3 linked regions of the Nothobranchius furzeri genome follow. Each later gene encodes a partner of the first gene's protein in a complex. Links are inferred from orthologs where the notes say so. Each region holds a gene or a part of one and is shown on either strand. Other genes may lie near its edges. The genes, in order: bcas2, rbm22 and ctnnbl1.

The links.
Region 2: bcas2 (region 1) and rbm22 share a complex: the UniProt entries of both Homo sapiens proteins name them as parts of the postcatalytic spliceosome P complex. The link is inferred for Nothobranchius furzeri from reciprocal best matches to the Homo sapiens genes BCAS2 and RBM22.
Region 3: bcas2 (region 1) and ctnnbl1 share a complex: the UniProt entries of both Homo sapiens proteins name them as parts of the PRP19-CDC5L splicing complex. The link is inferred for Nothobranchius furzeri from reciprocal best matches to the Homo sapiens genes BCAS2 and CTNNBL1.

The regions. Positions count from the first base shown.
Region 1 is NC_091755.1:51,937,774-51,941,529, reverse strand, and holds the start of bcas2 (pre-mRNA-splicing factor SPF27), read right to left. Parts: upstream 2,497-3,756; 5' UTR 2,386-2,496; coding exon 2,293-2,385; intron 1,511-2,292; coding exon 1,418-1,510; intron 1,330-1,417; coding exon 1,259-1,329; intron 1,143-1,258; coding exon 981-1,142; intron 893-980; coding exon 842-892; intron 754-841; coding exon 673-753; intron 586-672; coding exon 459-585; 3' UTR 1-458. UniProt on the Homo sapiens protein: Required for pre-mRNA splicing as component of the activated spliceosome. Component of the PRP19-CDC5L complex that forms an integral part of the spliceosome and is required for activating pre-mRNA splicing.
Region 2 is NC_091741.1:95,926,566-95,930,221, reverse strand, and holds part of rbm22 (pre-mRNA-splicing factor RBM22), read left to right. Parts: intron 1-244; coding exon 245-445; intron 446-526; coding exon 527-691; intron 692-2,590; coding exon 2,591-2,676; intron 2,677-3,656. UniProt on the Homo sapiens protein: Required for pre-mRNA splicing as component of the activated spliceosome. Involved in the first step of pre-mRNA splicing.
Region 3 is NC_091755.1:51,796,181-51,799,836, forward strand, and holds part of ctnnbl1 (beta-catenin-like protein 1), read right to left. Parts: coding exon 3,646-3,656; intron 3,114-3,645; coding exon 3,041-3,113; intron 2,151-3,040; coding exon 2,092-2,150; intron 882-2,091; coding exon 733-881; intron 1-732. UniProt on the Homo sapiens protein: Component of the PRP19-CDC5L complex that forms an integral part of the spliceosome and is required for activating pre-mRNA splicing.

The sequences.
Region 1 (3,756 bases):
GTAAGTTAATGTGGAGTCCTTTCATTTTGGCTTCAAATCTGACAAATTATTTACAATTCTAAAAACTTTGTTGAAAGGCAACTTAAAAAACAGCTAGATTTATGAGGCTTATGTGTAGTAACTATTGGAACTACTGCCAGGGTATCAGTAGCACAAACATAAAACTTAGGACTGAAAACTCAGCTGTGTCTGAAATGACAAAATTGCAAAACAAAACAAACACTAAAGCGCTGCAAACAGAAAATAAAACTATTACAGGTGTGTTTGCGTTTTCAGCCTGAAATAAGATGAGATCGGAATCTACAGTTTTGCTTAGAGCAAACACGATTCTGATAAAAGTTCATTTTAAACATTCCAACAATGTTTTTAGTGGAAAATCCTAAACATGTGGTTGATTTAAAGATCTGTAGAAAATGTGTCTGATTGAGGGAACGTTAGTTTTGAGTTTGCGTGATTCTTCAGAAGTCCTGACAGATGTTCTCCTTGTTCTCGTCTCCCTGCTGTTGCCGGAGCTGACCTACTTCATTCTCCAGCTGGACTATGGCTCTCTCGATCTCGTAGTTTTTACTGACCAGAGACACCCAACTGTCAAACAAAAACACAGATGTTAAGACATCTGGAAACAACGTGTTCTCTCCACACAGTGACATGGAAGTTGTTCAGAAGACACACTTAGACTCCAGCTCGCGTAGTTTGGCCCCCGCTGCCAGCTGATCATTCTTACGCTGCCAGTTCAAATCTTGAATTTGCTTCCTGTCAACCAAAGTAATTGTTAAGCTTCTAAATATGAATTCTCAAAGCCCTTTAAATTAGCAAACAATGTCCAGGCATCGCAATTCACCTGAATTTGTGGAGTTCCTTTTGAGCCATCTCAATCAGAAAAGCCAGATTACTGTGGAAGGAGAACAAAAAAAATAATTAACAGTCTTCAAATAAAACAATGGTACTATTTCTGAAAAATAAAAGCTGCCATAACTCACTCATTGTAGACTTTCCATGCATTTGTTCCATACTGTGACATGAGCTCCAGGTTCTCAATGCGAACTGCTTGGTGCTCCAGCTGGGCCATGGAGTTGTTCACACACTCTTGCCACGCTGTAATGTCATTCTTCTGTCCTGAAGTTGGAGCTGGCAGCTCGTATCTTCACAGGCAGGAAGATATTAGAACATAATGTCCATATTTATTAAAATACTGAGCAAATGATTTGCAAAGCAAACATATATCTTGCAAGGCAACTACCACCAGAGCAGTTTTTACCTTTTCATGCTCAAAAGATCCATAGGCGAACGTGCCGCTAACCGCTCAAATTCGTTTCTCATAATTTCTGTCTGGAAGGGTGAAAACAAAGTGCAGTAAGTTCTGTGTCAAAGTCTGAAAGTCCATAAGAAGACCTCACATTTCTAATTAGATTCTTACCTCAAAAGCAGAGAAGTCAGGTGTAGGTAGGTAGCTCAGGTAGTTCTTCGTAGGTCTGTACCTTCTTGTCTCCTCCTCAACCAATGCAGCTGCCTAAGGGATCAAACAGGGTTTATGTTTGGTTCTGCAGCTTTAAAACCAACTTTCTCATTACTATTCTACGGCAATGCCCTGTCAAGCTTAATTCGCTATTTTGTAATAACAAAGGATGACAAATATTAAATACATAAATAAACTAATATATGAAGACTAAATCTGATTTTAGGTTTACAAGGAGCAAGAAGTACAAAAAGAAGTTATAAAACATCCACATAAAAGCTCCAAAGATGCCTAAAATGGTACTTGTCTATGACGTTGTTTACATCCTTATTTACTAAACGCAAATACAGATAACCATTTGATCACTGTTCACAAGGTTTAATGTGGCATTATCAACTATACAATTCAACAAGTTCACAGTTTGAATCTGAAAGATTCTAGGTGTTAAAATCTCAAATTATGCATCTTTTCCCGTGCCAAACTCAAAGGATAATTAGTCACATTAGAACCCAAATAAACCAAATTTAAAGAAAGGAAACATGTCATAAAATGTCTCTGCGACCTATTATGCAAATATATAAAATTTATATTCGTTTCATGTTGTTTTAACAAAATTCGTGCATTTGTTGAGATTCTTTGGTTTCTTCGTCTAGCAGTCTATTACGCACTAATAAACACTAACCAGCTATATATAAAAATAAACGCGTTAGTTTGGTCTATACAAGTAATATTAATTTAACAGTTAAAAGGCCATCGACTTTAAGGATTAATGAAAGTTTCCATGTAGCGTGTTGGCTAACACGCTTCTGATAGCAAACATTTTTTATTTCACTCACCGCCTCTCTGACACCTGGCGCATCATAACCTTGGTCGAAATACGGCAAAGCATCAACAAACACTTCACCCGCTACTGAAGCTGTCCCGGCCATTTTAATGAGTCTATTTACTGATTAATTTGTTGATTTATTTCTTCCTCGGCGGCTAGTAGCTAACTGAACCCAAGTTCTTTTTCCGGTGAAGAGTTTCAAAATAAAATGTCCTACATTTTTTTCCGTGCTCATACATAATGCTTACGGTTCCGTGTTCGATAGGAATGTGACGAAGGCAGTGCGTGATGAAGATGCACATCGAAGATGCGCATAAAAATACAGTTGAACTCCAACTGTGACCTGTTTTCCCTCTACCCTAATTTTTAGTAAATTTTCCTTGAAACCTTATGTACAAGACCCCATATAAAACTGTGCAAACGTTTTAAACCACCCATAATTTCTTCAAAACACGATTCCAAGACGCAACATTTCCTTGTAATATTTTAATATAGACTTAGTTTTAGAGGCTCCAAGAAGGTTCTTTTAAATGCGCGCGCGCGCGCGTGTGTTTAACGAGCATTAACGTAATTTCCCATTTTCTGTTTTGTCACCTGACTATGACAGCATTGGACCATTTTTTTAATGTAGAAAAGTGGATTGGTAGAAGACACAATTGAAGAATTTGGATCACTGACCCTGCCACCACCACAAGCCATATGTGTGCTCCATTTTTTAAATCAAAATCACATTGGCACCAGATAATATCTCATCCACACCAGATAGTTTCTCAGAAATTATCTGATGCAGACTGATACTATCTGGAGTACATGAGATCTGATGCTCATATGAATCTCTAGCCTGGACAGCCATGCCAATGTGTAGAATAGAAAGGGGGTAAGTCTGGCTGGTGTGCACAAAATACCAGCCTTTTTACCCACTTCAAATGCAAGAAATACATTCCAACAAAAATCAGAGATTTTTAAAAAAAGTATTCAATTGATTGATTGACTGAAAACTTGAGAAACCCATCCTCTTTCATTTGATCATCTCCACAGGTTATCTGAACGATGTTTTTTTTTTTAATTTTTTGGGGGGGATGATTTAATTAATTAAATAAAACATTTGGTTAGTATTCTTTAAAAGAAATATCAGTAACCCTATGATGAAACCTAAAATTAACTACTTTTGGGCTTTTAAGAGGAGATCCTTTCAGTATAGATGAGCTCTCGAACACTCACAAATTGATAAGTTGGCCATGAGTTAAAGCTGCTTTAGTGAATCTACAGTACAAGCTAGGTTTAGAGCGCAAACACCATCACAAAACACGCACCCTCTTCCCTTGTTTACCTTCCCCGAGATACTTCTACTGGAAATGGACACCTGCGTTGCCAGAGTAATTAAACCGTCAGTCACCATAAGTCTAGACATCTTTTGTTGTCAGCAACTTCAAATGGCATTTTTCTTTTTGAGACTTTCATATTTTGTTCTAAA
Region 2 (3,656 bases), on another chromosome or scaffold:
TGTAAACCCAGCTTGTGACACATCTTCCTGGTTTAGGAAGCATGTTTGAATCATGTTTTTGGTGATTTTATGAATAACAAAGCTCCGCAAAAACGAACAGCCTTTAGTATAACAGCAGCATAACTCACAACACCAATGTGTACTGGATCAACCAGGGTCTCGGGTCAGTAGTGAGTAAGGCCATTATTGGCATGTTGTTGGTTGGTGTGACGTTTGTTCACTATGACATCACGTTTATCTACAGACACGAGAAGCCCACAGATCCCGATGACCCGCTGGCCGATCAGAACATTAAAGACCGTTACTACGGCATCAACGACCCAGTCGCTGACAAGCTGCTGAAGCGAGCCTCGACTATGCCCCGACTGGACCCCCCTGAGGACAAGTCCATCACCACCCTCTACATCGGGGGTCTGGGGGATAATGTCACCGACGGAGACCTGAAGTATAGATCCACTCAAATTTAATTTGTATATTTTTACCATTTTTACTTTACTAACCACATTCTGTTTGTGTGTTTTTGCAGGGGTCACTTCTATCAGTTTGGTGAGATTCGAACCATTACCATAGTCCAAAGGCAGCAGTGTGCCTTCATCCAGTTTGCCACTCGGCAGGCGGCTGAGATGGCTGCCGAAAAGTCCTTCAACAAACTAATCATTAATGGGCGGAGGCTGACTGTCAAGTGGGGGAGGTAAGATGCTGCCCAGCTCCACCTGGAGGGCGTGGGGTAATGTGCTTGTTAAATACCAGAGAGTGTGTTTGTAACAGCCTGAGGTGAACCCACCACCCTAACAGCTGTCACGTGACTCGTGTCAGCAGAGCATTTAAAACCTGATTATTACTCACACATTAGGAGTTTAACTACAGGGTGGGCCATTTATATGGATACACCTTAATAAAATGGGAATGGTTGATGAAATTAACGTCCTGTTTGTGGCACATGAGTATATGTGAGGGGGCCAACGTTTCAAGATGGGTGGTGACCGTGGTGGTCATTTTGAAGTTGGCCATCTTGGATTCAACTTTTGTATTTTCAATAGGAAGAGGGTCATGTGACACATCAAACCTATTGGGAATTTCACAAGAAAAACAATGGTGTGCATGGTTTTAACGTAACTTTATTTTTTCTTGAGTTATTTACAAGTTTCTGACCACTTATGAAATGTGCTGCCTATTGTGTTGGATTGTCAATGCAACCCTCTTCTCTCACTCTTCACACACTGATACCAACACCGCAGGAGAAATGCCAGCACAGGCATCTAGTATCTGTAGTTTCAGGTGCTGCACATCTCGTATCTTCACACCATAGACAATTGCTTTCAGATGACCCCAAAGATAAAAGTCTAAGGAGGTCAGATCGGGAGATCTTGGGGCCATTCAACTGGCCCACAACAACCAATCCACTTTCCAGGAAACTGTTCATCTAGGAATGCTCGGACCTGACACCCATAATGTGGTGGTGCACCATCTTGCTGGAAAAACTCAGGGAACGTGCCAGCTTCAGTGCATAAAGAGGGAAACACATCATCATGTAGCAATTTCAAATATCCAGTGGCCTTGAGGTTTCCGTTGATGAAGAATGGCCTCACTATCTTTGTACCCCGTATACCACACTATACCATCACTTTTTTGTTCCAACAGTCTTGGAGGGACCTATCCAATGTGGGTTAGTGTCAGACCAATAGCGGTGGATTTGTCTGTTAACTTCACCATTCATGTAAAGGTTTGCCTCATCACTGAACAAAATCTTCTGCTTGAACTGAGGGTCCTCTTCCAATTTTTGTTTTGCCCATTCTGCTAATTCTGTGCCCTGATCTGGGTCATCCTCGTTGAGATGCTGCAGTAGCTGGAGTTTGTAAGGGTGCCGTTTGTGAGTAGATGATATCCGCTGAAGGGATGTTCGACTAATGCCACTCTCCAGTGACATGCGACGAGTGCTACGCTGTGGGCTCTTGCTGAGTGAAGCTAGGACAGCCACATATATTTCTTCATTATTGACCGTTTTCATGCATCCACATTTTGGCAAAGCCAACACTGAACCAGTTTCACGAAACTTAGCAAGCAGTTTGCTAACTGTAGCATGGGGGGATGAGTGGTCTCGTAGGGTGTCTTGCATTGAAATCTGCTGCAATGACCCGGTTACCGCGTTCACAGATATCAACACAATTTCGATCCGCTCCTCACCTGTTAACCTCTTCGACATGTCAATGGCTGTGAACAAATAGAAACTTGTGAATAACTCATGAAAGAATAAAGTTACGTTCAAAGCAAGCACACCATTGTTTTTCATGTGAAATTCCCAATAAGTTTTATGTGTCACATGACCCTCTTCCTATTAAAAAAAACAAAGTTGGCCGACTTCAAAATGGCCACCATGGTCACCACCCATCTTGAAAAGTTTGCCCCTCAAATATACTAACGTGCCACAAACAGGATGTTAATATCACCAACCATTCCCATGTTATTAAGGTGTATCCATATAAGTGGCCCACCCTGTACAGTAAAGAATACAACTCTTCTGTTTTTAAGCTGTACACATTTTTGTTAGCTAGTGAGCTGATGTCAAAAGAAAGGTGGTTTGTTGTTTTAGGTCTCAGGCAGCAAGAGGCAAAGATGGTAAGGATGGAATCAGTGAGATGGGAATCAGACTGGATCCTGTACCTGGGCTTCCTGGAGGTGAGTCTGGAGTTTGAGTGCACATACACACACGGACAAAATAGTTGGTACCCTTTGGTCAATGAAAGAAAAACCCACAATGGTTACAGAAATAACAACAAAAGGAATAATTAATACAAATTCTATGAGAATAACCAATGAAAGTCAGACATTTCTTTTTAACCATACTTCAACTGAATTATTTATATAATAAAATAAACTCATGGAACAGGCCTGGACAAAAATGATGGTACCCCCAACTTAATATTTTGTTTCACAATATTTTGCGGCAGTCACTGTTATTAAACGATTCCTGTATATGTCAGTGAGACTTCTGCACCTGTCAGCAGGTATTTTGGCCCACTCTTCATGAGCAAACTGCTCCAGGTCTCTCGGGTTTGAAGGACGCCTTTTCCAGGCGGCATGTTTCAGCTCCTTCCAAATATGTTCACCAGGATTGAGGTCAGGACTCATAGAAGGCCACTTTAGAATAGTCCATTGTTTTCCTCTTAGCCATTCTTGGGTGTTATTATCTGTGTGTTTTGGGTCGTTGTCCTGTTGCAAGATCCATGACCTCCGACTGAGACCAAGCTTTCGACCTCCGACTGAGACCAAGCTTTCCGACACAGGCCAGGGGTCTCATTTATCAAACATTGCGTAGCATCCTTACTAAAACCGTACTTAAGCTCAGCAAAAAAAAAGTACTTACACCAAGTAGGTTTGTGATCTATCAAACATGGAGTACGCACAGCTGCACACAATCTCCGCTTCGTAAATCAGAAACTATCTAGAAAATTTCTCAGCTGTTTTTTAGTCACATCCCGCCCTCACCACACCCACTTACTGCCATAAATAGTCAATGCAAAGTGCCTTGTCGATCTCATGCATATACATAAGGCTGTTGCTGCATTGCTCCGCCAATGACGATGGCGACCGTAGATCAAGGCAGATCAAGGAAGCGAAATTTCACAGAAGCAGAAATTGAGGTACCGTATTTTCAC
Region 3 (3,656 bases), about 140 kb from region 1:
ACAACCCTACAGGCACGACACTGTGTTTATGTTTACATCTACCAGCCATTAGAGGGCACTGTTGCGCTAAAACGTCCACTCAGCAATGCAAGGTTGGGACTGTGTAAAATGGCAGACTTGACAAGCAGCTGATTTTGAGCCCAGAAGATGTTCCAATGGTAAATTTTGTTGTAAAATAAAGTTATTAGTAGAAATTTGTCCTTATCCTGTACAATTTGTCTCTGAACATAGTGCTGGAACGGGTCAGCAGTGAACCAACATCCCAGCAACTGGAAAATTTGTTCTCTGAACACCAGAGTGTTTGTGTTCCATAGTCAACCTTTAACTGTGTATTACTGTTATTATTGTTGCACTTATAGTAGCATAAGCATATTAATCATTTTGGTTTCAGGTGGTCCTCCAAAACGCTGAACTGTTGGTGTAAACCTTTTATTGTAAAGTGCTTTGGGAAATGTAAAAATCCTAAAGCTGCGACAAAGAGAAAAGGTCAAATAACATTCTGGTATTTAGAGTGATATCTGCTTCAGATAGAAGCGTGTAATATACATTTAAAGTCTGTCAATTTATAGAAGTCCTGAAAAATATGAAACAACAGCTGAAAGCCTGATCTGGGAAACCTTTACCTTTACGGATATGAGGGATGGGATCCCTGGCAAGCTGCGGGATGATTTACGGTTTAGGAAGTCTGTAGTGCATCCCACTCATGGGATTTCTTGTAGATTAAACCTTTACCTGAGCATGAGATTCATTAGCTGAAGCCCTTCTCCTTTGAGGAAGCGATCCCGATTAGAGGGCAGCATGAGGCAGGAACACAGAGCATCAAACAGATTTTCCATCATCTCCTGCTCCTCAGCCGTGTTCGGATTGTGACGTTTGAACACCTGAGAGAAAAGGACAAGGAGTGGGAAGCACTTAGAAAAAAGATGACATGAAGGATTATACCTTTGTCTACTAATTTAGCATCTAATTATGAAATAAAGCTAATTCCAAATAAAAGCCACACTAAACCAAACATTCATCAGTGGTGGGGTTGCTTGCACAGCTTCACGTTAGACAAAATGCGTTGCAGGAGAACAGGCGCCGGGCGTGTTTAGAGCTTAGAAATAAGTTAAATGTTTGAACCACGGATGTGCAATATTATTGGTTTATTATTAATATCGACAGATATTGGCATAAAAAATGTAATACCGGACAATATTGGTATCGGTTTTGACCCAACCTTTTAACTCGTTAACTGCCAGCCGTTTCCTGATCAGAAAAGCCTTTCGCTGCCAGCGGTTTTCAGCATTTTCACAGTTTTTTTAAGAGTCACATAACGTTGCGCGCTAGGATGATGTCAATGCGAAAACTACCAAAACAAAGAGGAGACTCACTTCTTACATCAGGAAGAATCCACGCGTTTCGAGCGTTATCCGTTCTTTCATAATCCGTTGTTGAATTGTGATCGGCAGAAGCTTTTCCGGTTCGCGCCTCACTTTTTTTACAGCAACGTCCGAAAACGATCTCCTAACACATGGATTTTCTGCTTCCTGATCACATGACGTGTGATGTACGCGAATGAAGATCAGCTTTAGAGCTGAGATGTTCGTTCTCATGGTGCGGGGGCTCGTTCCGACGCCCACACAGTAAATAAATGCAAATGGTGACTTTAGTCGTCATTGGCGGTGAATGAGTTAATAACATCCACATAATATACATCAAATTCTTCAGCTACTTATTCTCTCTCTCAAAATGTTAAAATATGACAGATCTGAGGTAAGGTTATTGACATATTTTAGTTTTTTTGACACAATTTGAGAAGTAGAAATTTGCCCTGTGTGGTGAACGTACACCGTCCTGCACCTGGCAATGTGTAGCTAGACGGCTAACAAACGACTAATGGGAGATATGTGATGTGTTAGTAACCTAAAATATTTCAGTTTTTCTTTTTTATGAGGGAGGGGCATAAAATTAATCAGTATGTTTAAATTGGTATTGGAAATTAAGAGTCAGACAATATCGGTGTGTCTGATATTGGTAAAAAAAACAAAAAGAAAATATCGAGCATCCCTAGTTTGAATACAAGTGAGAGAAAAAAATAAAAGTTCTTACAGATAACTGCTGCAGTAGCACATCAATACCATCCATTTCACCCAGCAGTTCTCTGGTACCTGTAAAGAAAGAGAAAATAAAAAGACAACAAGGTGAATGAAAAGGAGGCAGAAATGAGTTCACAAGATTCCGATTATAAAAATGAGCATTTAAACAAAAATGATTTGTGCTAAACCTAAATCAATTACTTTAACAAAATAATGACTAAGGAAATAAGATGGGACAATTTAAAGGCATCGGGAGCTTCCACACTAACGCCTCTGCTGTTTTATATGATATCTTTTAGATTTTTGTTTTTATTGAAGTCTAATAAAAATAAGTAGATGCAAATTAGGACATCAGGAATGTTGCCTATGTTGTTATAATTTCCCATTTTATGTGGCTATATATATATATATATATATATATATATATATATATATATATATATATATATATATATATATATATATTAAACAGGATAGTACTCAAGACAGCATGTGTCCTTGTTTTGGCAAAACATAGTTTTGTATAAATTTTTCATTTTGAAATGCAAAAGAGAGAGAGAGTTATAATGGAGGCAGCACAAGAGAAGAGTGGGGAAATAGGTGCGAAATGAGAAATGACTTCAGCTGCATACCAATGTGATTTGTACCATTAATGAGAACTAGCCCAAGGCCCTGGTCGTCCTGTGGCTCTGATTTTACTGCCTTTCTTTTTTGTGAGGGAGGGAAAGGATGAAGACGACTGCACATAAACCAACAGAGATGGCGTGGAAAGTAACTTAAAAAGGAGGAACATTTTAGAGAGGGAGAGGACGACAAGGAAAATATTTTAACAAGTTCAATGAGAGAAATGTAACTAAGACAGAATGGAGGGTTGAAGTCAATTTAGGGTGAACAGGCGGAAAAAAGATGGAAGATAAATAAATAATTTAGAACACGTCAACAATTTACTGAGATACACTTACTGTCATTATTTTGCAGCAGAATGGCTAGAATTTCACTGCAGTACAGCTTGTTAGCATCAAACGGCATCTTTGCCTGAGAGGGAAGGAGAGCGAAGTCTAATTACCACTCCTCTTGAGAAACTCTGTTCTCCAGAGGATTACAAAATCACTATGTATTCTACAGGAAAATCTGCATTTTCTAACCTCAAGCAGAGACCTGCTTTATGCAGATTCTGTCTCACACAGTGTATAATACTGCACATCATTTCTGAACATATTTATAACCTCATTTATTTTATTCAAAACAACCCAAAAGAGGGAAAACACAGAAATTAATTCCCGCAGATGGTGTGATTCCAAACTAAACCAGACGTTTTTTTTTTAGATAAATATGAAACTAGATTTTTGTTTTTGTTACAGACAAACCTACAGTAGTTATAAGGTTTGCTCTATAACATCCCTGTCACAAAATCTCAGAATAAACATTTATCCTATACAAGTACAGCAGTTAAACAGAAAAAAACAAATCATCAAACCCGGCATGACTGAGAACATACCAGAAGTTTTATGTACTCAGAGATATCATCTTATTAGCTGGTATTCATTTCACGAGTCCTGGGTCTTACCTTGATTCTCT